5 linked regions of the Kluyveromyces lactis genome follow. The main gene of each other region encodes a partner of the protein of the gene in region 4 in a complex. Links are inferred from orthologs where the notes say so. Each region holds a gene or a part of one and is shown on either strand. Other genes may lie near its edges. The genes, in order: RRP42, SKI6, RRP46, RRP45 and RRP4.

What was found.
Region 1: RRP45 (region 4) and RRP42 share a complex: the UniProt entries of both Saccharomyces cerevisiae proteins name them as parts of the RNA exosome complex. The link is inferred for Kluyveromyces lactis from reciprocal best matches to the Saccharomyces cerevisiae genes RRP45 and RRP42.
Region 2: the proteins of RRP45 (region 4) and SKI6 are in contact, whole or in part, in a crystal structure (PDB 5OKZ), measured with the Saccharomyces cerevisiae proteins. The link is inferred for Kluyveromyces lactis from reciprocal best matches to the Saccharomyces cerevisiae genes RRP45 and SKI6. Residues at the interface, in NP_010566.1 of Saccharomyces cerevisiae: Thr97, Glu99, Asp100, Val102, Leu103, Ser105, Arg106, Glu109, Lys110, Arg114, Ser115, His191, Thr206, Glu207, Asn209, Ile210, Lys211, Asn215, Glu217, Asp232, Leu239, Arg243, Glu244, Val245, Val246, Gln247, Val248, Ser249, Lys250, Ala251; in NP_011711.3 of Saccharomyces cerevisiae: Arg95, Arg96, Leu98, Glu99, Thr102, Ser103, Val105, Arg106, Met107, Lys110, Phe155, Asp156, Val190, Glu194, Lys195, Leu196, Ser197, Leu198, Leu199, Leu200, Val201, Glu202, Asp203, Lys204, Ile205, Pro206, Leu207, Asp208, Leu210, Glu211.
Region 3: the proteins of RRP45 (region 4) and RRP46 are in contact, whole or in part, in a crystal structure (PDB 5OKZ), measured with the Saccharomyces cerevisiae proteins. The link is inferred for Kluyveromyces lactis from reciprocal best matches to the Saccharomyces cerevisiae genes RRP45 and RRP46. Residues at the interface, in NP_010566.1 of Saccharomyces cerevisiae: Lys3, Asn53, Lys55, His57, Arg59, Ser61, Ser80, Glu82, Ile83, Ser84, Pro85, Met86, Ala87, Gly88, Ser89, Glu92, Asn93, Arg135, Asp137, His139, Leu141, Asp142, Cys143, Asp144, Leu225; in NP_011609.2 of Saccharomyces cerevisiae: Ile9, Leu10, Asp11, His12, Val13, Ile27, Cys28, Ser29, Thr31, Ile34, Glu35, Lys37, Glu49, Ile51, Arg53, Pro54, Ala55, Lys56, Gly57, Val58, Ala59, Leu87, Gln89, Thr91, Cys92, Gln93, Leu95, Glu96.
Region 5: RRP45 (region 4) and RRP4 share a complex: the UniProt entries of both Saccharomyces cerevisiae proteins name them as parts of the RNA exosome complex. The link is inferred for Kluyveromyces lactis from reciprocal best matches to the Saccharomyces cerevisiae genes RRP45 and RRP4.

The regions. Positions count from the first base shown.
Region 1 is NC_006041.1:822,446-828,646, forward strand, and holds RRP42 (exosome non-catalytic core subunit RRP42), read right to left. Parts: upstream 2,694-6,201; coding exon 1,899-2,693; downstream 1-1,898. Other genes in the region: TRM3 (tRNA (guanosine(18)-2'-O)-methyltransferase), read left to right, coding at 1-1,843; RRT6 (Rrt6p), read right to left, coding at 3,088-3,861; TMA17 (Tma17p), read right to left, coding at 4,590-5,072; U4/U6-U5 snRNP complex subunit PRP3, read left to right, coding at 5,799-6,201. UniProt on the Saccharomyces cerevisiae protein: Non-catalytic component of the RNA exosome complex which has 3'->5' exoribonuclease activity and participates in a multitude of cellular RNA processing and degradation events.
Region 2 is NC_006040.1:810,522-816,665, forward strand, and holds SKI6 (exosome non-catalytic core subunit SKI6), read right to left. Parts: upstream 3,990-6,144; coding exon 3,252-3,989; downstream 1-3,251. Other genes in the region: divalent metal ion transporter SMF2, read left to right, coding at 1-349; FYV8 (Fyv8p), read left to right, coding at 713-3,175; GPI14 (glycosylphosphatidylinositol-alpha 1,4 mannosyltransferase I), read right to left, coding at 4,308-5,516; KLLA0_D09669g (uncharacterized protein), read left to right, coding at 5,822-6,144. UniProt on the Saccharomyces cerevisiae protein: Non-catalytic component of the RNA exosome complex which has 3'->5' exoribonuclease activity and participates in a multitude of cellular RNA processing and degradation events.
Region 3 is NC_006040.1:1,264,141-1,270,377, forward strand, and holds RRP46 (exosome non-catalytic core subunit RRP46), read right to left. Parts: upstream 3,290-6,237; coding exon 2,612-3,289; downstream 1-2,611. Other genes in the region: VAS1 (valine--tRNA ligase), read left to right, coding at 1-2,458; thiamine transporter TPC1, read left to right, coding at 3,663-4,616; PIS1 (CDP-diacylglycerol--inositol 3-phosphatidyltransferase), read left to right, coding at 4,985-5,662; ALE2 (Ale2p), read left to right, coding at 6,020-6,237. UniProt on the Saccharomyces cerevisiae protein: Non-catalytic component of the RNA exosome complex which has 3'->5' exoribonuclease activity and participates in a multitude of cellular RNA processing and degradation events.
Region 4 is NC_006039.1:950,726-957,165, reverse strand, and holds RRP45 (exosome non-catalytic core subunit RRP45), read right to left. Parts: upstream 3,110-6,440; coding exon 2,192-3,109; downstream 1-2,191. Other genes in the region: KLLA0_C11143g (HAD family hydrolase), read right to left, coding at 1-692; KLLA0_C11121g (uncharacterized protein), read left to right, coding at 1,590-1,967; RNH202 (Rnh202p), read right to left, coding at 3,451-4,464; DDE1 (Dde1p), read left to right, coding at 4,873-6,440. UniProt on the Saccharomyces cerevisiae protein: Non-catalytic component of the RNA exosome complex which has 3'->5' exoribonuclease activity and participates in a multitude of cellular RNA processing and degradation events.
Region 5 is NC_006041.1:1,127,061-1,133,918, forward strand, and holds RRP4 (exosome non-catalytic core subunit RRP4), read right to left. Parts: upstream 4,639-6,858; coding exon 3,325-4,638; downstream 1-3,324. Other genes in the region: IPK1 (inositol pentakisphosphate 2-kinase), read right to left, coding at 1-137; DYS1 (deoxyhypusine synthase), read left to right, coding at 437-1,576; OMS1 (putative RNA methyltransferase), read left to right, coding at 1,887-3,227; TRM5 (tRNA (guanine) methyltransferase), read left to right, coding at 4,667-6,175. UniProt on the Saccharomyces cerevisiae protein: Non-catalytic component of the RNA exosome complex which has 3'->5' exoribonuclease activity and participates in a multitude of cellular RNA processing and degradation events.

The sequences.
Region 1 (6,201 bases), on a different chromosome or scaffold from region 4:
GGGTTTACAGTGCAGAATATGGGATTCTTTAATAGAAGAGAGGTTGGTACTCAATCAACAACCATTGCATTTGGCTCTCATAAGAGGCATCTTCCATTATACGACATTCTTATCTGCCCTCAATGATCAGGCTATTTTCAAGATCATGCTTCATTACGCAACTGCCATTTTAGATCAATCTTTTTCGAGGAGAACATTGAAACCAGTTCTCAGCCAGCAAATCTTAGGGTTTATGGAAGTGTATGGAAGTTCACTACCAAACCAGCAATATTCGGACTTTGCTAGGTTGCTATCTGATGTTTTCACTCATGAAAGTATGAATCTCAACATCTACAATTTAAAACCTGCAATTGCCAAGCTATTTGATTCCAAGCTTGGTTTATATATTGACGGAGGATTATACAAGTTTGTTTATGGTGCAACAGAAGTGGTTACGAAATCACGCATAATTAAAGCTCTTTTATATTCAAGCAAGGAGTTTAGACGTCAATTTTTGCAGGTGATGCTCCAAGAAGACCCTAACATGTTAAAAGCGAAGAAAAAAACTGATGGACCAGAAGAAATTCAACGATTACAAAAATGGCAACTGTGCCTTCTATCGATCAAATCAGTCGATAAAGATGTTCTAACAGGTTTGTGTTCTGATTATATCATTCCTTCTCTTGTGGAAGAATCGTCTCCGTTAGTAAGAGTTTATTCAGAATGGTTCATTGCATATGACCTATGGGTTACAGCGACAGATAATCATAAAAATCCAAATGAGGACTTTCTGTTCAAACTTTTAGAAGACACCTCTCGTCCTGTTTTACAAGCAAGTGTTGAACGTTTGTTATTCTTATCTTTGAAGGCAGCGAAGGAGACAGGTCATTTTTTCAGGCCAATGGAAAGATTTGTCGCACAACTGATAACTAATTGCTCCTCAAACAAACCATTAATTAGACATTTCTCTAATTCCCTCATTCTTTTGTTTTGGCCAACCTTTGAAGATGACATCAAAGATAATATTTTGCGATCCATTATTTCTAAGCTATACAGCGATGCTAAGAAGATCCAAGTACAAGGTCAATTCAGAGCCGGTGACGCAAACACTTGGAGCATCAATAACGACCTTAAGTTAACAAGTATATTTGGCGGCGTATTATTGAAAATTATGGATCATAAAGTTCCATATATAAATAGTAAGATATTCAAAGCCATTAACATCGATGACGGTGAATTTGAAATAGGATCGGAAGAGAGTGAACTATGGTTGACCAAAAGAAGTAGTAATCTAGTAAATTCAACTGAGTTAGCAAAAAACTCGCCCCTACAAACGAAGAGTGGTGCTTGGGAAGCTGTCTTGGATTTCGATAATCAAAAATCCATTGAGTCTGTTGCACGATCTGAATTAATTGTCGTAGCTTCATTAGTGGATAAAGCACCCAATCTCGGAGGTATTTGTAGACTCTGTGACGTGTTGGGTGTCGGTACTATGACAATTCATGATATTAGAGTCAAACAGCATCCTCAATTCAAAAATGTTGCGGTTACAGCGGACCGCTGGATGCCTATTGAAGAAGTTCCTGTCGATGGTATAATATCTTACATGAATGCAAAGAAGTTGGAAGGATATACGTTAATTGGATTGGAGCAGACTGATTCTTCCATTCAACTGAATTCTGAATTTAAATTTCCATCAAAATCTGTCATTTTACTAGGAACAGAAGCTCATGGTATTCCAGGGCATTTGTTAAAGGAGTTGGATTTATGCTTAGAAATCAAACAATCTGGGGTAATAAGATCCATGAATATCCAAACTGCAACAGCTGTTATCGTTCATTCGTACTCGATCCAGCATTTATAGATATGCATTTATAATAAACACCCTGAAAAGTACCTATTTACTATTTAAATGTTCCTTAATCTGAAGCATCCAAAGCTTTTTCAATATGTGGTGCGTATTGACGAATTAACTTGAACGCTTGTTCTAAATGATGCTGACTGAACCCTTTGATATTATCGTTATTCAAGCCAACAGATCTTATCGGAGAAGTAACCTTATCTTTGTACCACGTAATTAGAAGGCCATTGTTCGATACTATGCTCTCTTCAAAAGTTGGATCCACAAAAACACCGTCTCCTACAATTGCGAACGTAAACAATAAAGGAGCATCTGCCTCTAGCTTAACCATATCGTAATCATGGAATGTGGGTAGCTCCTCCACTTCTAAGTCATCGTCGTTCGATATTAGTTTCGGTAGCCATGTGTTTTTCAAAGCGCTGAAAATGGCGAAAGATATCATTGAGATCGGGTATGATTTGGAGGCAAGCACCAAAACGTCAATGTAAAGTTTGAAACTGTACCTTTTCGTGAGCATTAGCTTTTTCTGATCAATAGTTTGTTTGAGCAATTTGGATAATAGTGAAGACATGCTGGTAACCAATGGAGAGTCATCTCTGTGGCCTTGGATGTCGACATCAGCAACAAGCAATTCTTGTTCTACCGTATGGTCCACGACTTTAGTTTTTACACTCACTATACACTCGCTTCCTCCGCTTAATATCACACGGCTGGATCCATTAGAATTGGGAAGGAAATCAGTAGATACTTCCAATGGTCTAAATTGATGTGGACCTCTTCCATCCGGTCTTAATGGGGGATCTAATGTTAGAGAATCGTATAGGAACGATTTTTCAGTTAACGAAAGTCCCATTATCTTCTTATATTATTTGATTTTTTTTTTAACGAGATGGGTCTGCTTCGTGAGAAGATAACTCGCTTTAAACTCAGATGTTTCTATTGCTGTTGATAGAAGGGAAATAAGCCTTTTCTCATCATCTCATTGCATCTCATCTCAAGCTCATATAAGTCAATACTGAAATTAGTTCAGATTTTTCATTTCTTCTTTTCGCTAATGCACATTAATATTCGGTGTTACCCGGATATAATTGGCCATTAGTGAGATGTTCTGTCAGGTGTCAGTCACGGTTCGAAGTACTAACATACGATGAATGCTGACTGACTGATATTGAAGTTGTACTGATACAGGGTGCTGATGTTTAATATATATACAAATACATCAACTGTTTTATGGACATAATTATTCCTTATCTTTTGATTTTATTTTTGTTCTTGGTCGGTTGCCCTTTGCTAACGATTCTATACAGTAAGATTGGAAATACCAGCAAATGACATACTCCAATGATGCAGAATAATATTGTGACTTTTGCCAGTAGATAAGAGAACGTTGATTCGTTGAGATTTCTATGATCGACATCTAAAGCATGCAATTCCTGGCCAGAATCCGCACTGACCAACGAAAACAGGTCATCTCTACCCTGGGATAACAAATTGAGATCATCATCAGTAATCAAATCCCACTTCTGTTTCTGAATCAGATCATTAGACGTGATGCTAATTGCTACTTGCTTCACACTATCTATGGCATTCCATGAGGAGTCTAATGAAAAGTTGATAAGGCATATTTGGAAATTCTGATGTTCGTATACGCTCACGTAAAGCACAGTTTCCCCATTCTCTAAACCATGTCTTGACTGTACCAAATTTTGGTCTTCGTCATAAATATCCATGTTGACAACCTGTTTTCCCTTTGAACTCGTAGTTGGACCAAACCTATCCACATTAACTTTCCATTTAGTAAATTCTTCAATTTCAATGAGGAATTGTAAATCCTTGGCCTTAATATTCGTATTCATTTCGAAACAAGTTTGATAACTAGACGCGTCACTCGAGCCGTCAACTTCCCATTTTTTATATGGCCACAAATCGAATTCTAATCGATTTGGGTTTATCGGCAGTTTAAGGGTCTCCGAGACAACTGAACATATCAGTAAAAGGACATATATCAACGATATCACCATTTAAACAAAAAGAACAAAAAAATTACTAGCTGGAACGAAATGAACTGGGTATAATAACAAACGAAAAGACCACAATCTAATTACTGAAGCGAAAGCTGTGGATTAGACCCAAAAAAAAAATTTTGTCTGGCCGAATAAGAACACAAAAAGATATTGACAACACGTATGAAGCACTGAGAAACAACCTTAAAGGGAAAAAAAGAATTGTTTCGATTTGAATTGAACCTGATGCTTTATAGATGGAGACCAATCATTAACCCAGGCAGTTCCCACTTTTCCAACCGAATAATTGCTGTCAAAACGACTCTCTGTATGTTTTTCTCCAAAAGTGTTCTTAACATTTTCATGCCATGGCACAGTATATATGTCGATCATATCAAAATGAAATGAAATGTTAACGTGAACCTGATAGACTTTTTTCGCATCGACGTTTACAGATGGAAGAAAATGAATGCCACAGAGAACGGCCCAGCCTGCTGGAAACAGAAAAAGCTAAATGTTAAGAATGGTCTGTAGCAGATTCATTCCAGGGTTTTTCCCAGCAGATTACCAGCCCGAAACTAAGAGAAAGAAACCAGAACGGGTGCGTTTATTCATCTCTGAAAGTATACAGTTTTCCGAGGTCATACCAGCCCACACTTTTAAACATGCATTTTTGCTTTCATTCATTTTTTTTTTACTATACTTCAATATATGAGTACATTATATATATTTTGTTTGGAATGGGTTCATAAGTTAATGCTATTGGAACCAGTGGCATCAGCAGTATTATCTGAATCCACGCCAACGGTTCTCCGGCCTTGAGATTGCAAAGATCTTTTTAATTTTGTGGACGCCGATTGGATGTCACCGGAAGATACAGTGCTAGCCCTGTGCTGTTCTTCTAGGTCCAAAGCTTGTAGCCTTTCGTTATAATTATCCAATACTTTTCCATTTTCCGCTAATGAGTCTTGGAATACTTGCAAATCCTTCTCATCAATATCATCATCGGAAAAATTCCCTTCCGCGTCCAATTCTTGTCTGTTCAATACCTCTTCACCCTTAAGCTTGGCAACGTACGCTTCTAACCTTCTGTTAGATCTTTGTAAATGCTTCACTGCATTATTGATCTCTTTTCTGATCTCTTGTAATTCATGCTCAGACGATTCTCTAATAGCAATCACGAACTCTTGAATCTGAATTGGTCTACGAATACCAGAAGAATGTGCCATATTTCTATGTTAAGTCTATCCTTAGCTATGTATGTTTTTTCACTTTTTAGTCTTGTTTCGGTTGGAAAGTACGAGATGAATTAAGATCGGTATCCTTAACTATATATTCAAGCTAGCCTTTTATAACAATAATTTAAGCCAGAGTTTATTCTCTTACTATTTATACCCAACGGTAAGATATCACGCCCCACATATGACACCCACCCCTCCGAGGCACCATCATTGCAAATCAGAGTGTATGATGCGCACGTTACTATGCTGACTTTTTCCAGCTCCAAAGCAACACTACTTGTTAAAAATCACATCAGCTTTTCTGCTTTCCTTTCTCCTGGGCTGGATTTCCCCGCCTAAGTCCTTCTCTGGGAACTGAACTTTGTCCCTTTCAGCAAAGAGTTGAGAAACTCACGAGGAACACAAAAACAACGAGAATTAGGGGCCGCTTATGTAATTCTTTTCATCCCATAAAACAGAAAAATTGTGCTGTTTTGGCTTCCACCCATACACTACGCACAATCAGGGGTTGGTGCAATTTCGGATATATTACCCGGGCATGGTGAATTTCATCATAGGCGTTACAGAGTGAAGATGTGATTCAGATTCTATATGAGAGAGAGTTCATTGCGATGCTAGAGAAGAGATGGACAAAAGACAAATGGTGATGTGTAATAGTAACTACGGATTGTCTGGAATAATCGGCCCTTTGTACAAAAATCATATCATCATATAATGGGCAATGATAATAATACTAATAGAGGGTTAAATCGGAAATTGCATTCTGCATTGAGTGTTGAGAATGTCAATTTATTGAGATTTCAAGGTAGACGTTGTGGAAACCCATACTTGCAAGACGTACAGGCTCATGGTTTTGAGCCAAAGGCAAGAGTATCGTCTCATTGGTATGAACCGGGAGAGGTTGTCCAGCATGCTGCAAAATTAAGACAAGAGAACCGTGAAAAGTCTGAAGAAGAAAGAATACGATGGGAAGCTGAACTGGAGAAACAGCAGGAAATCGAACGGAAAATAGAAATAGGGGAACTACCTGATAAGCATGAAGAAGTTTATTTTACCGATTTATCGGACGTTCCTGATGTGGAATGGTGGGATGTTCCATATATCAAAGATGGTAGCA
Region 2 (6,144 bases), on a different chromosome or scaffold from region 4:
ATTTGTGAGTGCTCCATTGATTTACTTCACTAGTAATAAAAACATTATGAGAGTTCCTTGGGCTATAGATTGTTCTCAAGAACCGTCAAACTTATTTGCATTACAGAATTTGTCTTCCAGTAACTTAGCCACAGATGATGCTACCGTTATTGCTCATGATACTGATGATGAGGTGGACGCTCATCTAATTAATTCCCCTGAACCTCTATCAGATGAGTCTGTTCATTACAAAGATTTCAGTAACAGCATTTTCACTACGGTTGTTGCTGTCATTGTATGGATCTTCATCTCCGGTTTGAATTTCTATTTACTAATATCTTTTGCTAACGGTCAGGACGTCCATTTGTAGAGTGATTATTTCTTTCATACTAAAAATTAAAAGATATATATATATAAATGCATAGAATATTAGTCAAATTTCACATACTGTACGTATTATTACTGGCAACATTACTCCACCAGTATTTTCATCGAGGAAGCTTACCATATTTGTTTTAATATACATCATCCATCATGGTACCTTACTTTAAAAGATTTGACCTGTCTCTGACACATTTATTTTTCAAATCTGCGTTTCAAGGTAAATTTCTTGTGATCTTCGTGTCAATTTAGATCATTCTTTTAAGAAAAGTAAATTAAATAATAAACAAAAACCTTGGGATTAAGTTTAAGCCACTTTAATGAAAGTTAAGGACATCAAGAGGATTCTTTTATGGACGACATAGCAAGGCAACACTATCAGGATAACGCGAAAATGAGTGATAACATTACTAGGCATAAGTCCCAGAGATGGGTTAGCGCGTCAAAGGCAAACTATGACGGTGCTGATTGGGATGCCTATTCATCTAATTCTGAGGATGAGGGCCTAACGAATAATATTCCGCAACTACCACAGGTAAATATTCCTGAATCTAACAACATTGCAAAATCTAGCTCACCTGATCCATCAATTGGCACCTGCCTAAGATCTGACTCTCTGAATACATCTGTAAGATCAGGAAATAAATCTGTCAATGATGATCTAGATTCTCTAATGCATCAAATATCTCAAGAGATGACTGCAAAAGATGAGGACGTTAACAATACCAGTGATCCAGAGGATGAAGATGATGCAGAATTGAAGGTATCGAAGACTGGCTATTTTGCCGCATACGTAAACGATGAAGATACGGATGACAGAGAATCTGTTAAAAGTGATATAGAATCGGCCAAGCTAGCTGAATCTGCTACGGAGATTAACAAAACAGATAATGCGAAAGCAGAATCGGTTAGTGAAGTTGAGTCTGTAGCAGAATCAGTTAAGAGAGCTAAGGTTGAAGTTGAACCTGTCCAGATTGTGAATGTTGGGGAAGAATCCTTTAAGGGAGATGATTCTGAAGCAGAGTCGGTTAAAAGAGCTGATGTTGAAGTGGAACCTTTCAAGATAGTCAGTGCAGAGGAAGAACCCCTTAAAGGAGATGATACCGAAGTAGAACTTTTCAAGAATGCTGCTTCTGAAGTAGAAACTAGCCAAATATCAGTGGAGTTGCAAGACGAAATGATTGACCCAACAACTGAAATTCCTTCTAGAATACAGGGTGATGTTGCAATTTCAGATGACAAAGGCAGTAAAGACGCGGTAGATGAAGATAACTGGTCCAAATCAGACAGTCATCCAGAATCAATTGGAAGTCAAGATAAAGAAGAGATGCCTCCAAGTTCTATTAATAGTCTTCCGTCAGAATCCCAGTTGTCTATTCAACACTCAAAAGAAGGAGACAGCAATGATTCTGATTCACTGCTAAATGGTTATGGTTCAGAACCAAGTTTGATGAAAGACAATGCGTCGCCTGTAAAGCTTCGTAAAACATCCAAAACAGACCTGTCATATCACGACGGGTATTCATCAGAGTCTTCTGGCGAAGAGAAGGAACGTGCTATTTCCGAAGTTAGCCTGGGACAGTATGTTGTTCATTCTGCAGAATCTTTTAAATTCAGAAACCCTGTCAGGAACTCTGTTCTCGATTCAAGCGATGATGACATAGATTATACTGATGAGGATGGAGATTTAGAAGTCACTAAAAGTGGCTATTTCGCTGCGATGGTTGATGAGGACAAGGAAATCGACGATTCAGATAGGCATACATTGAATAACAACGATACAGATGGACTGACAGCTGATAGCGATGTTAATTCGATAACGGAGAGCGTAACGAAACGATTGAGTCAATCCTCTATAACCCAATCGGACGTTCCAGATCAGAATTCTGAAAATGACGTCGGAGGATATTCTGACAGCTCTGAAGACGAGGAAGACGGCCCACAGAAATTAGCATTCTCAACCAGGGAGTCAATCAATCTAGGCAAGTGGAAACCAGACACCGATGCATTCCGATCTGGTTTTGTTACTGAGACCATCGATATCAACAATCCTCCCGAAGGATACACCGTAAATGAGGACGGGGAAATTGTTGAAGTGAACAAAAACACAACATCCAATATTCAACGCAATTCATCGGTAGCATCAGACGGAGAAAGTCAATTTAATGCTTTTCCACATGACGTTGCATCAGATGATGACGACCTCAAGACGATTGCTGACACTAAAACAATTTATGACAATCAAACCATATATAACGTTCCTGCTCTGATTGCCAATAATGCATCTGCTCCGGCTCTCCCTACGAACATACAAATTACCAATGAATCTACTGACTACGTTTCTAGTAACGATACTATATTCAAACACGTGAACGGTGAAGCTCCAAAAGGTGAATCAAAATTAAAAGAAGCATTCAGTTCTGAAGGAGATGAAATTCCATCAGTGGTTCACCAGTCAACTGTCCCGAATCTAGACTTGGTCAAGCTTTTAAGCAGTAATGAGCTTCACTCCCAAAAACTAAAAAAATTAAACAATTACAAGGAACAATTAAAAGAATATGACTCCGGACTCCAGAGCTGGATCCAATATGCTTTGAAGTCTTCTACCACATCTGATAAGGATTTTATCTTCAAAGACTACAAAGTCAATAAACATGTTCAAGATGCTTATGCTCAAGCGGATATTTTGAGTAAAAAGAACAGCGTCGCAAATACGGTGAACCAAAATGTTACACATTTGAAGAAGAAGATGTTTTCTAGCAGCATGAGAGAAAAATCTAAGGGGTTATTCTCATCTATAGGTAAAAAATTGTAGTTAAAGGCAAGATCCGAATTGTAGAATGCATTTATGTTTACATGTTATGTGAAGTTTATAATTAATGGTTTAAAAATCAATTCGAAGAGTTTTCAACTCTTGTTTTTCCATGCTTTCTAAGCTCCTTATCCATTAAATCTCTAATTCTGTGAGTGCCTGCTATTCCGATGGCCATGACACTCTCAAGTCTATCCAAAGGCACTTTATCTTCCACCATTAATAAAGATAATTTTTCTGATTTACCAATTGTGCCTATGGTAACACTGCTCATTGCATTTTCCTCAAGCGAGTTAAGGTCTAGTAGTGGTGTAGTATCATAAAGTCCCACTGAAACCCCGCTTACAAAATCATACATTGCGATACCAGCATCTATCAGAGCCAATGTTATTCCATTAAGCATTGCCCCAAGAATCCCACCATCTAACTGTAGAGCATGAACTTGAACGTCAATTGACGTACGAGGATAGAGATGAAGCATCAAGTTCTTTTCAAATGTACGCACTAACGAAGCTTGCCATTCTAAGGTTCTTCTTTCATTCTTATGGCTTGATTTGCTTCTTTCCATCTTGGCAAACTTCGTTAAGTTAATAGTAACGGATAAAGTAGCTTGTTTCGTATTGACTTGTGACCTCGAGGATGGTTCTTGAGGACCAGCAACTAATGTGATAATCTTATTGTTACCTTGTTCCAAGTACGAGGATCCATCTGCAGCATTCGGGTGAGTGTTGATGGAACAGTTGAAACTTCTTAGCTCATTCCAACGACGACCATCGACACGCAATCCCTCTGGAGAATATATTTCAAAACGTGACATTATGTTACTCTGTTAGTTAAAGTGGGTTTTCCTACACGCTAGCTGGAGGGGCTAATTTCAATCTGACAGCCTCTGCTTTGAATGTACTTCTTCTAGTAGATGTCGATGAGCTCATATTTCACTTGTAAGATTCAAAACTTGAATACTTTTTTTTTTTCAAATTCTATTTCAATAATCAGTATGAAGAAAACAGCAGCGAGTGAATCTGACAACGGATATGAAATTGGATGAACGGAATGGAACATCAAAATACTCGTCAGGACTTCGATCGTGGCTTTGAAAATGTCACAGTACGCTACAGTATATGCTAAGTTAAAATTATATATTCTTCTTATGTTGATTGTCTTGGAATGACGTTCTGGATTTGATGTCAGTGATAAAGACACCGAGTAGATAGACGTTGATGAGGAAAAACACTATATTGCCAAAGAATAAGTTGGGGAAAAATACATTTTGGCCTTTGAATTCAAGTAGATATGCTTGTGAAAGCCATACGGCTTGAGACAATATCCATAAAAATATACAGACCACACCTTTTCTCCATGTAATGGTTGTATTTGCGAAATAAAATGGGGATAATACCAAATACCAAATGAAATATTGAGAAGTGCATACTTTATTGAAAGTAACGAATGCGTATGTTTGTACGAATAGGACATTCATTAAATTTTCGAACGTCTGTGATTTCCACAATAGATAAGGTAGTACTGCACATAGTGTCAATTGAGGAACGAATGCCAGCTTAGATAGTTCGATAGATTGGGAAAGATGAATACCAGCAGATTCTAAGAGTAAGACCAGGTTCCAAATCGAAAAATTGTGTCTGTGGTCTGTTCTCGTGAGATGGTACATGTACGAGTGTTCGATAAATTCGCTCCCGTAAAGCTTGTACATGAAATACGTCGGCGCAGTTATGCCGATTAGCGTCGATATCCCTATCATGAACAATCGCCAAATGCAGTTTCTATTGTGACTCGACAACAAGAGATATATTCCGATCGGTAGCGCATAGATTATCGGATAGATCTTGAAATGAATCGATAACCCATAGAAAAGTCCTGAAATAAGTAACCTGTCTCTTTTCAAAAAGTATAAAGCACATATGATCAAAAAACATAAAACCGATTCAGCGTTTCCTCGAGTACTTATCGTTATAACAATCGGGTTCAATAACCAAATAGAAGCTAGAATTAGCTGTTTTGTCAATTGACATGAACCTTGTAATAGTTTTATGATCATCACACCTGTAATGAGATCAAATAAAACAAAGAAGACTTTCCCCATATGAATCCACTTTAGATAATAATTGGGTAGTAACAAGAAGCTCAATAAAGGTGTGTACCTGTATGTATCACGCAAATAAGGGGATTGTCCATTGTTAACGTAACCAGCTGCATCATGAAAGACAAAGTAATCGATATCAGTATATTTAACGTCAAAATGCGAGTCTTGGAAAATACCGTAAGAAAAGAATCCAATTCGAAGTAGTAAAGAGACTGTTAATAATAAGATTACTTTTCTATGCATTTCCTGTTAGTAAAATGGCGGGCTTCAAGCAAGCAAGCAGTCGTTATGATCTTCAGATATGATTTTATTGTTCGAAATGTGGTTCCCCAAGGTTGGTATGTAATGCCAAAATCATGGCATTATGTTGAAAAAGTACAATTTAAATATAAAGTCACTTAAAGGTTTCTCGGAGAATCAAAGATGATTATAAGTAAGATGGGAAACCGATGAAGAGAACACCTAAATCGTCAAGGAGCGCAGTTGGTTTGAAAGTTTTGCCTACTTTTCACTAGGATCCACCAAAGTGGAACTATTTTAATTAAATCATGGAGAATAAGGAGGAAGCCACCGAGCTCTCTTATGATGAGTTGATGGATATCATTGTTAATAACAAACCAGTCCCAAACGTAGTGGATGTCCCAGATATCATACTAGACCAATCTTTGGCTACAGAGCATCACTTGAAACCACGGTTGAAGCCATGGGAGCAAGCGAAGGATGTGCCTGTAATGGGAGGTTTAGTTAGACAAAAGGAAGAGACCAAAGGATTGGCGGAAAACGTGGAACTAGTCAAGAAGTCAAATTCACTGGAGAAACTGACAAACTATTACGCCTTAGAGGTTGAGTTTCAAAAACAACTTAAAGGTTA
Region 3 (6,237 bases), on a different chromosome or scaffold from region 4:
GAGCCGTGAAGCATTCACTTTGGATCCAAAACTTTCTAAAGCCGTTGTGGAAGCCTTCGTTAAATTGCATGAAGAAGGTATCATCTACCGTGCTGCTCGTTTGGTTAACTGGTCCGTTAAATTGAACACTGCTATTTCTAACCTTGAAGTCGAAAACAAGGACATTAAAGGTAAAACTCTATTGTCTGTTCCAGGTTACGATGAAAAGGTGGAGTTCGGTGTTTTGACTTCTTTCAGTTATCCAGTCGTTGGTTCCGATGAAAAATTAATTGTTGCTACTACTCGTCCTGAAACTATGTTTGGTGACACTGCTGTCGCTATTCACCCAGACGATGAACGTTACAAGCACTTACATGGCCACTTCGTTCAACATCCTTTCTTGAATCGTAAAATGCCAATTGTATGCGATGCTGAAGCCGTTGATATGGAATTCGGTACTGGTGCCGTGAAGATCACCCCTGCACATGACCAAAACGATTACAACACCGGTCTTCGTCACAATCTGGAAGTTATCAACACCTTCACCGATGATGGTCTATTGAACGAAAACTGTGGTCCTGAATGGGAGGGCACTAGGAGATTCGACGCTAGAAAGTTAGTTATCGAAAAGTTAAAGGAAAAGGGTTTGTTCGTTGGTCAAAAAGACAACGAAATGACTATTCCAACATGTTCGAGATCTGGTGATATCATTGAACCATTATTGAAGCCTCAATGGTGGGTCTCGCAAAAGCAAATGGCTGAAGAAGCCATCAAAGTTGTTAGAAACGGTGAAATTACCATCACACCAAAGTCTTCGGAATCTGAATATTTCCATTGGTTAGAAAACATTCAAGATTGGTGTATCTCTAGACAACTATGGTGGGGTCACCGTTGTCCTGTTTACTTCGTGAACATTGAAGGTGAAGAAAACGACCGTAACGATAACTCATTCTGGGTGTCAGGTAGAAACTTGGAAGAAGCCGAAGCTAAGGCAGCCACTAAATTTGCTGATAAGAAGTACACTTTGGAACAAGACGAAGATGTTTTGGACACCTGGTTCTCATCTGGTCTATACCCATTCTCCACTTTAGGATGGCCAGATAAGACTCCAGATATGAGCCAATTCTACCCAGCTTCCATGTTGGAAACTGGTTGGGACATTCTTTTCTTCTGGGTTTCCAGAATGATCTTGTTAGGTCTAAAGTTGACCGGCTCTATTCCATTCAAGGAAGTATTCTGTCACTCTTTAGTTCGTGATGCTCAGGGTCGTAAGATGTCTAAGTCCTTGGGTAACGTTGTTGACCCATTGGATGTTATCTCTGGTATCAAGCTAGAGGATCTACATGCTAAATTGTTGCAAGGTAACTTAGATCCAAGAGAAGTCGAGAAGGCAAAGAATGGTCAAAAGGAATCTTACCCACACGGTATCCCAGAATGTGGTACTGATGCTTTGAGATTTGCTCTTTGTGCATACACCACTGGTGGTCGTGACATTAACTTGGATATTCTCCGTGTTGAAGGTTACAGAAAGTTCTGTAACAAGATCTACCAAGCTACCAAGTTTGCTTTGTTGAGATTGGGAGATGACTATAAACCACCAGCTTCTGAAGCTCTTTCTGGCAATGAATCCTTAGTTGAAAAATGGATCTTGCACGAATTGACTGAAACTGCCAAGAATGTCAACGAAGCATTTGAAAAGCGTGACTTCTTGAACTCCACCTCAGCCATCTATGAATTCTGGTATTTGGTCTGTGATGTTTACATTGAGAACTCCAAGTACTTGATTCAAGAAGGTACAGAAGTTCAACAAAAGTCTGCTAAGGATACCTTATATATCTTGATCGACAATGCATTGAAAATGATCCATCCATTCATGCCTTTCATCTCTGAAGAAATGTGGCAACATCTACCAAGATACGCCAGCGAAACTTCTCCAACTATCGTTAAGAGCTCATACCCAACTTTCAAGGAAGAATTCCACAATCCAAGCGCTGCTAAGGAATACGAGCTAATCTTAAACGTCACAAAGGATGCTCGTTCCTTGTTGGCACAATATAACATCTTGAAAAACGGTAAGGTGTTTGTTGAATCTGCTAATGAATCATACTACTCCACTGTCCAATCTCAAAAAGATTCTATCGTCTCTTTGATTAAGGCAATCGATGAAGTTTCCGTTGTGAAATCTGCTGCTGATATCCCACAAGGTTGTGTGCTACAATCTGTCAACCCAGAAGTTAACGTGCATGTGCTTGTGAAGGGTCACGTCGATATCGATGCAGAAATCTCCAAGGTCCAAAAGAAGCTAGACAAGACTTTGAAGTCTAAATCTGCCATTGATAAGATTGTCAACAGCAGCGATTATGAACAAAAGGCCAATGACCAAGTGAAGCAATTCAACAAAGAAAGATCAGAGCACGCTGCCGCTGAAATCGAAACCTTGGAAGCTACCATCGCTAACTTGGAAGCATTGAAGTTGTAGAATTGTTTTGTTATTTGTCCAATAGATTAGATTACTCTCTCTGCCGCTGCTAATGCGAATTATATAAATGCAAATATATATAAATTGTATATAAAGATGATAACGTTAATTATAAAGTTAATTTATAAAGAACCATGGGTGCAGGTATACCCACTACTGTCTCCAGACGAAATCTTTGGCGACTTTATCCTTGATCACTGATCTCAACTCTGTGTATAACCGTATACACTCTTTCTCACCTGTTTCTAACACTTTAAACAACTGTGACTCGTCAAAGCTGCCTAAACTATCAAGAAGAAGCAGGTTCCTGACATCTATATCCCCGTTCTCATTCGTGCCCAGCTCTAGACAGTATACGTGGACCGATTCACATTTAGCTAGCTGCGATTCTGTTGGGTTCACCACCAGCTGCTTCCCTTCAGTGGTAATACCAATACAAGTACCAGAACACATACTGAGTAACGGTACACCAGCATCCACCAATGCGAGCACCGCTGCGTTAACACATACACTGACTTCTTTCACAGTATAATCCCTGCTTTCTCCCGCTTCTAATACTTGGAGACATATCTGCACAAATTGACGTGGATGCAAGTATCTCGCAAGCACTGGGGTCAACACAGAACGGATCTGATCTTCCATTAACTTTTCCCTCGTACTCTGTACGCCTTCAGCAGGCTTCACGATGATCTCTAATGCAAGTTGTGTGGGCAACTCTTGCCTAGACTTAGGTTCCATGGGTCCCGAAACAGAACAGATAACTTTAGTTCCGCTGTTTGAAACAACAGAAGAGCCATCAACATGGCCCAAAACATGCGTCGTAGTCTCCATCTTGGCTAGAAAATTACTATAGGTACAATATAACAATCAATACGCAGTCGGTATAGACGGTAATGAGCCACTACAGTCCCTCTTTCCCCATCTTTTGAATGTTATGTCAGGATGAGATGAGATGAGCTTCAAATTCAGAAATTTTTCACTTTTAGGATACGCAATGAATAGATATGAAACTAAGAGGTTGGAGATGCAATGCAATTGATGTGCCAGAGACCCTTTTAGCAGGGCATGTATGTGGTAATTTATAAATAAGGAGATTGTGTGTAGGTCTGGCTTCATTTAAGTTCTGAGAAGGGAGCGAGAGACCAGCATTCAGTGAATCTTCAATCCATCAAGAGAGAGGGATTTATTTAATGACGAAGAGAGAATGAACACTGGCATAAGGAAAGACCATCTCAGGAAAGGTGAAACGGTATCATGGTACAATTCAGTGATTGCTGGTTCTGTTTCTGGGGTATTTGCTAGGATGGCAACTGCACCAATGGATACTGTAAAAATACGATATCAGTTACAACCGGTACAAGAGGACAAATATAAGGGAATTGCATCTACTGTGAGAACTATAATGAAAGAAGAAGGACTTCGAGCGTTATGGAAAGGAAACATCCCGGCGACGGCGATGTACGTTGTTTACGGTGCAGTACAATTCGGATCTTACTCGTGGTTCAACAACGTTTGGTCTGCGAAGTTCCCTCGGTTTTCACAGCAGGGACAAACGCTAACGGTCGGAGCGTTGGCAGGAATGACTAGTTCAGTGGTATCTTACCCGCTAGATTTGCTTCGGACAAGACTTATAGCAAACAGAACGAGCCATCGGACCAGTGTCGCAGAGGAGTGCCGACAAATGTGGCTCAATGAAGGTGTACGAGGTTTTTTCACTGGAATATCCACTGCGATGACAACGGTTACTTTATCCACGGCTATCATGTTTCTCACATATGAGACCGTGAATATAGTCTGTGAAAACCACGAGAAAGAATTCTGGTCGCGACCTGTAAGTGCTAGTTCAGGGATCATCGCAGGGTTTGTATCCAAGACGATGGTGTTCCCCATTGACACTTTACGTCGCAGAATGCAAGTGATGAACTCTAAGAGAACAGTTCATTTCACCAAATTCCCTGCTGTTTACCACGAGTACAGGTATAAATCATCCACTGCAATTATTTACAAGATACTAAGACAGGAGGGTGTATCAGCGTTGTACCGAGGACTTACAATGGGACTATGTAAATCTGTTCCAACGACAGCAATCAGTCTTTTCGTGTATGAACGCACAATGGATCTCTTTGATCACGGACAGCGCTGGGGGAGATCTCCATAGGACAACTGTGGATATATCTCATACCAACGGAGGATGTTACAGAGAGCGTGTTTACCTCCAGTATATAGTTGATGTAGAGGAATATCCTACTGTGTATAAGTCACGTGATCAATATCAGAATCATTTAATGATAACTTCCAAACGAATCAAAGCAACTTACCGATGGCTGATGCAAAAGAGAAAAAGAGACGACAAAACCAGTCGGTACGGCGCCACTTCTAGCTGCAATTGACGCGTAGGATCTAAGTACAAGTGGTAATTCTTATTTTTGGTGTTACTATTGCGAAGTTGTGCAGATTGTTTCTGGAAACTACTTAAATTAAGAGCCTCGACGAGTTAACAAGAATAATCTCGTGAAATAGTTTCAAATGTCCGCTGTCACCGCTAGAGATGTGCTATGGTACATCCCAAACCAGATAGGGTATGTGCGTGTGGTGACGATGTGTTTATCGTTGGTTTTGATGGCCAAGCATCCGTTGTGGACGATGGTAGTGTATGGAGTGTCTTGTTTGTTAGATGCACTAGATGGGACAATGGCACGTAAGTACGGCCAGATCAGTTCATTCGGTGCTGTGCTGGATATGGTGACAGATAGATCCACCACCACAGCATTGATCTGTTTCCTATGCGTGGCATATCCGGTATGGTCGCCCGTGTTCCAACTACTAGTTGCCTTGGACATTTCAAGCCACTATATCCACATGTACGCAACGCTAAGCACAGGGTCTCAATCGCACAAGGCCATCGAAAAGGAACAATGGCTTCTCAACTTATACTACACGAGACGTAAGGTGCTATTCACGATTTGTGCGTTGAACGAAATGTTCTACATGGGTCTATATATCAACGCCTTCCCTCAGTTCAAATCGTATTACTTCCCATTGCTTGGATCCACCCATATCGGAGCTATCATCGCGCTGGTGTGTCTTCCAGGGTACATATTCAAGCAGATTGCCAACGTCGTTCAACTAAACCGTGCTGCGTTGATGCTTGCCAATAAGGACGCAGCAGAAGCCACTGAGAGAAGAAGTGCAAAGAAGAACTAAGAGTTCCTCCCCATTTATAACTACCGAATAGAATTTACCGATATATATATATATATATATAAATACATCAATGAACTAGAAATCTAGTACTCTGAAAGTGCATGCCACCTAACGCCAGAATGTACGGTCCATAGCTTGCGTACTTTACCATATATCATCTTTGTCTCATCTCGTATTTTATGATGGCATCTCTCGAGCAGCTTTATGGAACAAATTACTGTAAATCCACATTCACCACTTCAAACGGAACTAGATCAGAAGGAGAAAAAAAGGCTTTGTGCTACTACGGATAGACCAGCAGCTGTGGTACTGTTTCCCTCGAGGTTGAGAGTTTTGTTGCCTGTTCAATAACCAAAGATGAGTAGTTCTTTGTTTAGCAGCGTCGTTCCAGCAGCTGTTTCCGAACAGATAGATCTGTTCACGACCTATGTGATGTCCTTACCTCCGCACCCTCATTTGACCGAGTACGTGATCCCATATCTCGAATCCAATGGATGGATTACTTCGAATGTGATTCTATCCAATTTACACACTGTGTTGTACATTGCCGTCGGGTATCATGCGCTATTCCTGTT
Region 4 (6,440 bases):
TTGGACTGCAAGCAAACTTGTGATAAATCTTCAACCACATAATCCGCGCCCGCTGCAAATAATAACTCCTTATCATAAGTACTGGTTAAGGCAACTACAATTGAGCCATTGGCCTTACCAGCTTGAACTCCAACAGGCGCATCCTCGAAAACCACCGTTCTTACCTCCTTTCTGTCATCTTGCCATATTTCCTTCAAACGTTTAGTGGCCAGAGCGAAACCGGCTGGGTCAGGTTTACCCTTTGAAACATCAAAAGCAGTAATGAATACCTCTGGTTTCTTAATGGATTTTAACAAGTTGTCAAACCATGCATGAGCAACCCAAGGCGATCCACTGGTAACTACAGCCCACTTTCTATGATGGAAAACTTCACCAGGGTGTGCCCCAGTTGGTCTATCCAACGAGATCAGTAAATCTATAGAACCTGGAATCAAACAAACGATATCCATGTAATCATTGGCAATAGAAAGTTCAAATTCCTTGACTGCCTGATTATTAGTGTTGTCAACGTTAGGAAAGAACTTCGCTAAGATCTCCGCAGTTCTGGAACCATGTGAGACCTTAGAAAGTGTTGAATAATCAACACCATACTTGTCACAGAGCTTATTCCAAGCCTCTTCAGCCGCATCGGTGGAACTCACCAATGTGCCATCTAAGTCGAAAAGAACGTAGTCAACAGCAATAGAAGGCATTATTACAGAGATTTGCTTGTTCAACTGTTTACGAAGGATATTATATGTGTCAAATTGATACAATTTACTTCTCTTTTAAGCACCCTACTAATGAAATTAAGGAACCCTGCTGACATATGTTGACCATTAGAATAGGAGAAGAGGAATGTATATCTGGATACATACTTGATATTTATACTAATGGAGAAGAATCCACCTTTGAAATGGGGGGAGACGTGTCAACTTTAAAAGCCAACTGAATTCTGCCCTGTGCCCTTTCTCCAGGTATTAGCTTACCCTAAGCATGAACAGCTTGTTGCTTTTTACAATCAAACCACGTTATACGGAAATAAAATAACTATAACAACAAAATTTGTTAAGGACATTGGAACGGCGGGGAAACTTCCCTGCCAATTAGCTAAGGCTCAAGCTCATCATCCATTTAATGGTTATTCCCCCAATTTTAGCAGATAGACGTCTCTTCCATATTTTGGGTTTTGTTAGTGCAGAGATATCAAATTTAGTAGCCTTGAAAAGTCCCTCTGACTTGACAAGACATGACATCCCTAACAGGTTTGGCCAGAGACTACTTTTCAATATATACTAGGTTATGATCGAATTGATAGGTATTCGCAACTTGCCCCTATTCATTGCAGTAAAAGTCATACATCAGTCCGTTTCAACTTGTTTTCTCGTTTCTTTAAGAACAATATATTCTATATCACCGACCTCTGTCATGTGTCACAATAAATCGATAAATTATTAAATTCAGGTAAGTAGAACCCGATGTGAAAAGTACATACCAACTAATACCAGATTGTATTAACTCTTCCTGATCACTGGAGTTGAATTTCCAAACACTCAAGGCTTTATTCGAATTGATGGATTTTGGGACATATTTGTGGTGAATTGATTATAATGTCACATTTATGGGATCAACGGAATAATCCAATATTGTACATATGCGGCTACTACATTCTATTTGTTGTTGTTAGTATCGTGCTATTATTCATAATATACTGTACAGTAACATACTGGGCTAATTCGAAGAACATTTTGGCGGCAGAAGAGCGGTACTTGAATTCTGCACCAGAGACACAAATTTCTATTGACAAACACATGATGATGTTGGATGAACGAGATTTGTATCCCGAACTTAATTCACGAAACGGATTCGAATTTGAAAAGAACGACTTGAACAGATATCCAAATTTAATACATATTGTAAAGTTTAACGCTCGGGAAGAATCAGTGACTTCCTCAACAGAAAGAGACATGACCAGACTTTATATTTGATTCACTATCGCTAAGATATTCACAGCATACACTCTCATATATCCACCAAACAGATACATTATTTGTATATTCATACATACAACATATAGTACAGAACAATATCAAACGCGCTGAACGGCATGGATTAAACGACTTCTAGCTGCCAAGTGTCTTGGGATATGGTACAACCATAAGCATTAATCTATAATTGAAGAAAAGCTTCCAGTTCTTCGATACAATGCTCCTTAAGTTTCACGAGCATTTTCAGAGCTCAAAATGTGTGCGTATTGGTTTCTTGCAATGGTATCTTGTTTCACAACACGATGAATTTGATCAGTGATTTTTTCTACAATTCCGTATGCTTTATGACAACAATCAATCAACGACAAAGCTTCCATCGGCAAACCACCTGCTTTGGAGATTTGAACAACTTCTCTGTTTTTATTAAGCGTCACAGTAAGCACACCATCTCTCAATAGCTCCTCTTTTAAGGAAGCATCGATGATTGATATTTCTGCATTGTCCTCACCTTTGATATTTTCTTCTGTATCGTCTGGATTGAAGAATGAAAACGTCACACAAATTGGAACATGCAAAACACCTAGTGACACAGGTTCTCTTTCATCAATCGGATGTACCGTCACTCTTTCACCAAGAACAGTAACGTCGGGCTTCTTAAAATGAAGTAACCCAGCCATTACAGCAATGCAACTGGCATCGATTAGTCCACCATCACAATCTAAAAAGTGAACATCAGCTCTAAGAGACCAACATTTGGAGCCAGCTATTATGCATAAACCTTCTACATCTAATGCTCCTGATCGTCTTACAGCTTTCTCAATCATCCTACTGATCAATACCTCTTCTTCTCCAGTATTGTTCCCATTCTCAAACTGAGCACCTGCCATCGGTGTAGTTTCGGTACTTATATGGAAAAGTCCTTCAAACGGTCTATCTTCATAAGGTTGTGCAATTTCACAGCTGATACGACAGTGTACCTTTGTGTTACCCATGGTAACAGTCACATCACCGTATGCTTCACCTATTTCGATCTTCACATCTCTGAATTGGTCATATGAACGTCCATCTAATCTTTGTTTAAGCTTTAACGCTTCCAGGATAAATTTGGATTCAGCATTACTGATCTCTATATCTTTTGCCATCACCTCTTATCGATTTAACTATTTTGATATGCGAATGCAAGCTCTCTTCGGCTATGGTTTTCTCTTTCAGTGCTGCTCATCGCAACTCTTTAACTTTTCAAGTGTTATAGTTCTAAATCTTTCATAAGCTTTGTCTCATTTGATATGATAGAAAGATGAAAAAGGAATAAAAACAAAATTGATGCGAGTTTCTCTAGGAGGAAGACCCTGTAGACAGGTATTAAGTGGAAGAAGATCAATTATTTTAGAGCTCAACAACGGCATGTTATGTGAAGCTTTAGGTCAAAATGATAGAGGTTATCCAATACTGATATTTCTACGAAATTATTATATGCCCTTACTTATGTTTTGTTAGTTTTGAAGAATCCGTCAATTCTTCCTTTACCCTTAGCAACCTTTGGTTTCACAACTTTAGCCTTTTGAATAGGTTGTTTCTTTACGGTTTTTGTGCCATTTGGAATGGCTGTAGACATAGCAGCTTTGATAAGGAGCTCTCTTTCCCTTTCTGTTTGTAATGTTTCGTTCTTGTACTTGTCGTATGAGTCGAAACATTGTTTGATGTTAAGATTTGAAGATTCATGTCTAATTAGATCCTGGTATGCGAGTTGTGGGATCAAGGAAACTAGAAGATTACACGACATTATGCATTTCAGAGATGATGCTATATCTTCAGGTAGCGATTTTGGTATTTTAAGAGAAGTAGGGAAGTTGTTGTTGATTTTGATGACTTTCTTCAGTAGCCATTCTACTATCATTTGAGGTTCGATACGATAATACTTGTCACCAGCTTCTTCCACTGTATGTGATATTTTCCCGAGACAACTTTCCCATAATTTTGGAGGTATCTTCTCCCAATTTTCACTGTGATTATTCGTTAATTTCTCTTGGTAATCAGAACTAGTATAAAAGTTAGTATCCATATCGAGTGCGGGTGGAACGCAAGGTGTAATAAACGCTAGATCCTCACTAGTAACTTTGTTGTTCCTATAATAATACCCACATATATTAAAAGTTAAGTCATATTTTTCGGCATATAGTATCGAACCATCTTCTAGTATGTGTCCATCTTTCCTGTTCTCTTCATTGATCAAAAATGTGGATTTAAATGTTTGCGAATCTGAAGTATAATGATATTTATCATTCACTAAATCTCGCGAGCAATTATAGTCACAGCCTTTACTGAACTTTTTGATTTTAAGCTGGTATACTTTATCGTCGTGTACAAACAGTTTGATAGGTTTCTTTGATTCGTTATTCGATGGATGTGGAAGTTCAAATATTTCGACAGGAGAATCCACTGAATTTGGCAAAGCTACCAATAGACATCCTTTCCTTATTACCTTCTCAACAGTCATATTCACTAAGGAAATGTAGCTGGGGATTGTTGTTTGATCGTTAATTAGGATAGTTAACAATGCTTTTTACGCGTTTCGTTCACGTTAAATGTTGTAAATGTCAGTGGAATATACCAAGTATTGGATGAATGTACGCAATTGTGTGCTGCGGCTGTCGTTCTGAATCTATTGCACACTTAATACAGCGAACAGCTACAAAAAGGAAGGGGCATGTAATTTGCTTTGTTATGAGATTTCACTTTTGTTTAACTGACAATTCTTCCTCGTTTATGGATCTGAAATATTATATATATATATATACACTGATTCATATCGGAACTTGAAATTACTGAAGAAGTTTACGCAAAGTAAAATGCACGGCGCGTAATTACATAAAATAACAGCTGTTGGTAAACTCACTCCCAAAAGATGGTGGACTGGATCACCTTCTCAAAATACTTGGTTGCTATCTTGGTAATCGTCGCTAGTACTGTTTGGTTTATCAATTCGGTTATTATTGACTCCAAAAGAGATCTACATACAATTTCGCTGAACGCACAATCAAATGTTGAGTCCGTAAGAAAGGAACATGAAACTGCTATTTACAGAAACCTATTAGTCCCAGCTTCTTTTCCATTGACTACAGGTTTAAACCTAAGCTTAGGATATAGGCTCAGGAATGGTAATTTTGGTGATTTATGGTCTGCAATTATGACAAATGGCAAGTCGACTGTATTGCAATTCCATACCGAAGAAACTACCCTTACAAGAATAAATGGTATAGCAAAACGAATTGTGGTTAAAGTTGAAAGTATAGGTGCTAAGAAGATTGGAATAGCTACGTCAATTGACTCATCAATGGGATTTTCAGTCGGCGTTGCCGGCTTAATGCTGTCGTTGAAAGATTGTATACCTTGGTTTTTACATTCGATTCCGCGAAACGATTTGGAAGTGGACATCATATTTATCAATGACTGGGAATCAGTTAAGTACCTTAATGGTAGTGAAAAGTGGTACCAATGGATTATTGTATGTGATCGGTCTATTAAACATAGGAATGATTATCAAAATAATGTCATCTCATTGAAAGATTTTATAGGAGAGGTGACAGATGACCCGGAGTTCAAATATGACCCAAAAGACTCTGGAGATGATGCCAAAATTTTGGCGTATATTTCGAATTTATTTGGAGGTACCACCAGCTTTACTCAAATGTGTCTTGTCAGTAGTGTGTCGTCATTTATCAAAAGTTTCCCATTGGGACATTCGCTAGGTGAAGCAGATCATCTAACAATATCTATGAGCACACAATGGAGACATTCACTATCCATTCAGAGCTGGGTTAAAACACTGTCAGTTTTGTTACACGGTGGCTCTGTTTCATTCAGTGATGAGCCAAGAAGTTTGAATGATCTTCCTAAAGATACTACACTACTCGCTATTACAGGTAATTCCGCCTTCTTAAATCATGTATTAACGCAATCAAAGGGGATCCGGACCTCTTTATCAAAAGCGTTATTCAGTGAAGGTGTATTTAACAAGATTGGACAAATCTCTCAACAGGTTGATAAACTCAGGTGTATCTACATTTTAAATGAATTAAAGAATGTCAACCAAGTTACTGATTTTAGCTCATCAGTCCTTAGATTGGAAAAATCTACGATTGACAGGTACAGCACTTCTCAACTGACACTTCTAAGATCCCTGTTTGGCTCTAGAGTAGTAATGGAGGTCTATTCTCCATATTCCGTTCTTGGGCCCCTATCATACACTAACTACTATGATTATAGGGTATTGCCGTCGACAGTTGATAAAGTTGTAACGTGCTATGGTTCATTTACTACTTCTTTAGAGGGAAAGTTGGTAGAAACAGAAGAGAATCCAGATCTTACAGCTCCAAACAGACAAGGTATGTTGGTGATACGTGGTTTCACTATTGGGAAACCAGTTGAAAAAGATCGTCTAGCTCAAGCCTTGAAGCTCGTTGACAAATTTAA
Region 5 (6,858 bases), on a different chromosome or scaffold from region 4:
TCGATAAACTGGAAGTTGTCCTGCACATATGCATTGTTCCTGGAAAGTTTCTGGTGCCTTAAGCTGATACGGTACACTTCACCAGAAAGGAGATAGCAAACATTAGCATTGCCTCTACCAACGAACAATAGAGTCATACCATAGTTTCACACAAAGAACCAAGGCAAACCCAAAAAGTAGGTCATGTGTTTAATCGTGGTGCAGCATCGTTTCTTTGACTTGTCATCTCGTCACCAGATTAGAGATTTATAAAACTAAAAGGCTTTACCTTTTAGGAATTTTTCACTTCTCACCGCATGAACTTTACAACTGTAAGAACAAGACGGTATTAACTCTGATCTATAACCTGATTCACCACATTATACTTAGGCGATTGGAGCTTCATTGTTCAGAAAGAAGTGCTCTACCAACTTACCTACTAACTTACAACGAAAAGATGTCCAACATTGACGGTAAATTACCTGACATCTTAAGCGATGCTGTGTTGAAGCAATCTGTTCCAGTGCCTGATAATTTTGTTAAGGTCGAAGGTATTGATTACAGCAAACCAGAATCACGCAACATGCGTTCTAAGGATTTAATTAAATCGATGGCTACTATGGGCTTCCAGGCGTCTTCTTTGGGAAAAGCCTGCGATATTATCGATGAGATGAGATCCTGGAGAGGTGAACATCGTGACAAGTTGGAAGAACATGACCGCAAGGGTTCTTTTGACAATGATGGGTACCAAAAGACTACTATCTTTATGGGTTACACTTCGAATTTGATTTCTTCTGGCTTGCGTGAGACTTTACGTTTCTTGGTTCAGAATAAGATGGTCGATGCCATTGTTGCAACTGCAGGCGGTGTTGAAGAAGATATCATCAAGTGTTTGGCTGACACTTACCTTGGTGAGTTTTCTTTACCTGGTAAAGGGTTACGTGACCAAGGTATGAACCGTATTGGTAATTTGCTGGTTCCTAACGACAACTATTGTAAGTTTGAAGAATGGATCGTTCCAATCTTGGACAAGATGCTTGAAGAACAAGAAAACTACGTCGAATCTCAGGGTAAAGACTGTTTGGATAGCAACTTCGATCAAGACTCTCCGGTATGGACTCCTTCCAAGTTGATCCGTAGGTTAGGTAAAGAGATCAACGATGAATCCAGTGTTCTATACTGGGCTTATAAGAACGATATCCCAATCTTTTGTCCTGCTGTCACCGATGGTTCCATTGGTGATATGTTGTTTTTCCATACCTTCAAGGCATCTCCTAAACAGTTGAGACTAGATATTGTTTCTGATATTCGTAAGATTAACTCTATGTCTATGGAAGCATCACGGGCAGGTATGATTATCCTTGGTGGTGGGTTAATCAAACATCACATCGCAAACGCATGTTTGATGAGAAACGGTGCAGATTACGCTGTTTATATCAACACGGGTCAAGAATTTGACGGTTCTGATGCTGGTGCAAGACCAGATGAGGCTGTTTCCTGGGGTAAGATTAAAGCAGACGCTAAGTCCGTTAAGGTCTATGCAGATGCCACTGTCGTTTTCCCATTAGTCGTCGCTGCCACTTTTGCTAGCGAATAGAACACTTTATAAAAACAATAGATATCTGTATATATTCATAACCTCGAGTCTGAGCCAACTGCATGAGAATTCATTGTTGTCAGTGGTGTTGGATTGGGTCAACACCACTTGGTTATTAAGACATTCACTCAACCCAATTGTACCACGTGATATTCTAAATTTTTCAAGATCGATTCAACCTCGAAACCGTCTCATCTCGCTCTCTCTTTATCTTGAGTTAACGCAAAAGAACCGACAAAACAGCCTTCCGATATGGTCTTCTGGTCTGTTTTAACAGGGTCTCAAGAATCACCTGTGATCTGTTTCACTAATGTTTGCTGTCAGACGCAATTTCTTGCGGGGGCCATTGAGAGTAACGCAATGTGGGCCAAGCTTAGGTTCGGGATATAAGGTTCTTGATCTTGTACGCTGCAAAAGTACATACATACCTTCTCCAGATTCCGTTTACAAGAAGCCTAAATCAAAGGAGCAGATTGCTAGGGAGAAGCATGAAGCGGATTTGAAATCTGACAACTGGATTATTAGGTACGGGGCCATTGCAAGGTCCGAGAAGTTTTCGAAAGCTTTAACGAAATACATTCTTGCCGCATATGTGGTGTTCATTCTATATGGGTTAAACTATACCAAGAAGCTTTATAAGAAGGACAAGGAGTTAGAAGATATTAGTGCAAAGATTGATATGGGAGTAGCAAATGAATATGAGTTGTTGCGCTATAAGGAACTAAAAAATACGTTAAGAACAAGAGATGTGGAGAAATTGAAACAATACCAAAAGATTATAGAGAAAGATGGGACTGAGAATTTGGATAAGATTACCTTGGAAAACAACGATCAAAACAAGATTAACGAGAAAATTCTACCTGCTAGGGATACCACTGATTTCTATGAAATGAAGGCAGAAGAGTACGATGAGGGTGTGAGTTTTGAAGAAATGATGATCAGAATGGGTAAAAGACGTAAGTGGCTCATGAAACATTGTAAAGGAGATGTTCTCGAAGTCGCTTGTGGTACTGGTAGGAATATCAAATATTTAGACCCAACGAAGATCAACTCAATCACATTCTTGGATGCATCGGAAAAGATGATGGAAATCACAAATAAAAAATTCAGAGAAGCACTACCCAATTTCAAGAAATGTGCATTTGTTGTAGGGAAAGCGGAAGATTTGATCGACTTGAACTCGAAGGAGACACCTGTTAAGTATGATACTATTGTTGAAGCGTTTGGTCTTTGTTCACATCACGATCCTGTAAAATCTTTGAAGAATTTTGCTGAATTGTTGAAACCTGGCGGTAGAATCATTCTCTTGGAACACGGAAGAGGTTCATACGATACAATCAACAAAATTCTTGACGATAGAGCTGAGAAACGTTTAAAGACATGGGGTTGTAGATGGAACTTGGATATCGGAGAAATCCTTGACGATTCTGGATTGGATGTCGTCGAAGAAAGAAGAACACATTTCGGTACGACATGGTGTATTGTTGCCAAGCGTAAAGGTGACGGTAAGAAGAAAGAAGAAATTGGCTTCTTTGAAAAGTATCTTGGTGCTAGTGTTAAGAGCAGAATTGAATCTTTCACAAACGATGGAAAGAAGCAAGACTCGCTACAAGCTACCCATAATAAACCAACATCTGAGACATCCAAATGATGGTACTCTTATCGAAAAGATTTTATTATTTGTAAATATTATGCACTTTATTTATAAAATACTACTTCATGTAAATATTAATATTACCGATTACAACCTATGCTGCTCCCCTCATCTTCTCTGAGTTGATGACGTCTTGACCTAAGGACTCCATCGTCTCCGATTCAATTAACTGTCCCAAGTTACCATAAGCCATTGAAGCCTCATATGCGGATATTATTCTTGGCTCAGTGATACCGAGTTCGCAATGTGCTAACGCCTTAATTACGTTTGCATATCTTGTGATTGTTTGCCTAACGCTTACAGTAACAGTATCATTTTTATCCGAATATATTTCCCAAGAACTCTCTTCTTCCAATCTTGTAATGGAAACCGACATTGCATTGTTGGATCCTGGTAAATGGTCAGATTGTCCTGAACCTGTAGTAGTGGTCTTACCGGAAAGATCCATCTTGGAGGATTTCCTTATCCATACGAACCCATTTACACCCAAGATAATGGTGACATTCCCTGGAAGATTATGTGTATGATTTTTAGATCTCACTATTAGGGAACTTGGGACTTGAACAAACGTACCATTCCTTAGTTTCCCATATTTCAACGATCTGGTATGTAATGAAGCTGAACCGTCTTGGAACAACGATTGGACTTCAGCGTTTAGTAGATCACCTTCTTTCAAGAAGTTTCTCATTTGCAACTCATCTGTCTCTGACTTACGTCTCAATACACCACCTGGTAAATTAACAGAACCCAACATCAAAACCGCATACTGTTTGGCTCCAATATCCACTTTCCACCTTCTATTACCAACATCAGTGATTCTACCCACGATGTGGTCACCTGTTTCGGGAATATAACGAGATTTTAATGGTAAAACGGATAGCAATCTATTCACTCTCGATACTGTGCCAACCACAGAACTGTATGTCTTGTTTTCCAAGAAATAAGTACCATGACCCTTCATCCATATAGGATCATCGGTTATTAATTCACCAGGTGTGACAATAGACCCATCCTGATGGTCTATTCCACCATTGGAATCGTGAGCACCGCTCATCTCAATGTCATGTTCTTGCTCTGAACCTGAGCTGGAATCTGATTCATATTCATCCTGTTCTAAACGGCCATTAGACCAAAATTCGTTCCTATTGATAACACTAATAACATCACTCATTGTTCCAAGTAATGATATAACGATGTCAGGGACTGCAGAAGGCGTTCGATGTGCTGACTTCCTCGCTGTACCTTTGTTACTTTTGGTGTTAGTTAACTGAAAATTTTCCAAATTAAATAAGAGAGCGATGAGATGAGATGAGATGAGCGTTGTAAAAGATGTAAAAATGTTGCAGCAAAGATCGACCGTCAGGCAGCGTTTTATTTGGTGAAGTGATAGCACACTATTTTGCTCCATTTTTCAAGGATAGAGGAGGACTAGTTTTATGAGGTTTGGCCTAGTGCTTCGAAGAACAATGAGTAGAGCTATTGAAACTACGTTCAAATATGAACCACCAGTGCATCGTGGCATGAAACAATTAGATAAATCATTATTCGTAAAGAAGCTTCCTGTTGTTGTATTGCTATTGAAGAATCCAAAGAATATTTCTGTCTTCACCAAGAAGTTCAAGGACGATATATTAAGGACACCAAGAATTCCATTCGTTATAAGACTTGGCGAAACACCAAAAGAAGATACTGATAAGAACGATGTCGAGCCAGTACAGAAGAAAAGCAAATCCCTGGCCAATGACAACCATATAACCAAAGGTATCATACTAAAAGACAGTATACAAGATGTTTCGCAGGCGAGAGGGAAGTTGACCTCCAATGCACTAGAATTTCTTGATGAGCAAGAGTATGAGTTGAGAAACCATGAGTATGTGCTAGATTATGACTTCTGGAAAGTGGAAGAGATTCTAAATGCAATTTTACCAGAGGAGTACCTTGCTGAGATTCCTACTGGGTTCACTATTGTGGGACACGTAGCTCATTTGAATTTAAGGAAAGAGTTCAAACCGTTTGGTGAAATAATTGGACAAGTCATCTTGGACAAGAATTCGACGATCAAGACCGTGGTCGATAAAGTGGATTCCATTGCTACCAAATTCAGAACTTTCGAAATGAACGTCCTAGCGGGTGAACCGAACCTGCTAGTGACTCAAAGGGAATCTGATTGTTCATTCACTTTCGATTTCAGTAAAGTGTACTGGAACTCAAGACTACATACAGAACATGCAAGGTTAGTGAGTCTATTCAAACCGGGCCAAATAGTTGGTGATGTGTTTGCTGGGGTGGGGCCATTCTCAGTTCCAGCAGGAAAGAAGAAGGTCATCGTTCTAAGTAACGATTTGAACCCAGAATCTTACAAGTACATGCAGCAAAATATCATCGACAATAAGGTGGGTAACTTCGTTGAACCATTGAACCTCGATGGCCGCGAATTCATCAGAGATAGTCCCAAGCTACTACAACAATTCATCGAAAGGGTACAGGGAGTCATCACGGTGCCAGGAGGTAAGAAGTACAAGGATAAAGTCACGGGAGAAACTAAACGTACTCCTGAAACCAAGATCCCAATCAAAAACCAGTTCTTCGATCACTACGTGATGAACTTACCTGACAGTGCTCTTCAATTCCTTGATGAATTCGTCGGATTATATTCAAGGTACGGGTTCACATACGAACAGATGGTTCAAGAACACGGCGAACAGTTCCAAACCCCATGGATCCATTGTCATTGTTTCCATAAATACGATGCGGAAGAACAACCAGAACCATCCATGGAACAACTACACGAAAGGGTCTACCAACAAATACTACAAATAATGAAGACCACTGAGCAAGAGCTTCCGTTCAACCAGTTCCAGTTCCACTTAGTGAGAAAAGTCGCTCCAACGAAACCAATGTTCTGTGTTAGTTTCCAACTACCACAGTCACTAGCCTTTATCTAACTATCTTGATACATAATTGCAATGTAAATAGAATGCAACATACCAGTGACTCTCATGATTGCAGAAAACAGTCACCAAAACAAGTCACTGGCCCAGTGTCCCTCAGTCCATCTCTTTTATCATCCGTTTGTCTTTACTCTGTCCACGTGACCAGATGTTGCCATCTGTGAGTCATTTCCATGTCTCGCCCTCGAGGCAACAGAAATTGAAAGATGCAGCCTTCAGAATGACTAACCTTCTCTTGGGAAAGCAACGAGACAGGGAGTGGACGTTCGGTTACTCATTCCTTTGGTATTTCAGGGTTACGGAGCAAGGTCTGTACACTGTGGCTGGTTAAGAGTTGGCAGTTATAAGTTTTGGGATTCTACTGATCACTTTTTTCTGTGCGTCATCCGTTCTCTGTTATCACTCTCGAGGGTTTTGTCCAAGTTTGAGATACATATATAAGAAGGCATTTAGTGTCCATTATCGAGGTCTTCTAGCAGTCAGATTATACTACTATTGAAGCGGTTTTCTATCTCTCAGATAAAGTATCAGCAAAGAGATCTTCAAGGATTCTCTGTTGAAATACGGCAAAGATACACTTGTCCTTCACAAACAAAACAGATACAAAACAGATACAAAAGTGACATAGACTTGACGGTTTACACATATCATTTCATTTCCTTTCTATATTTTGGGTT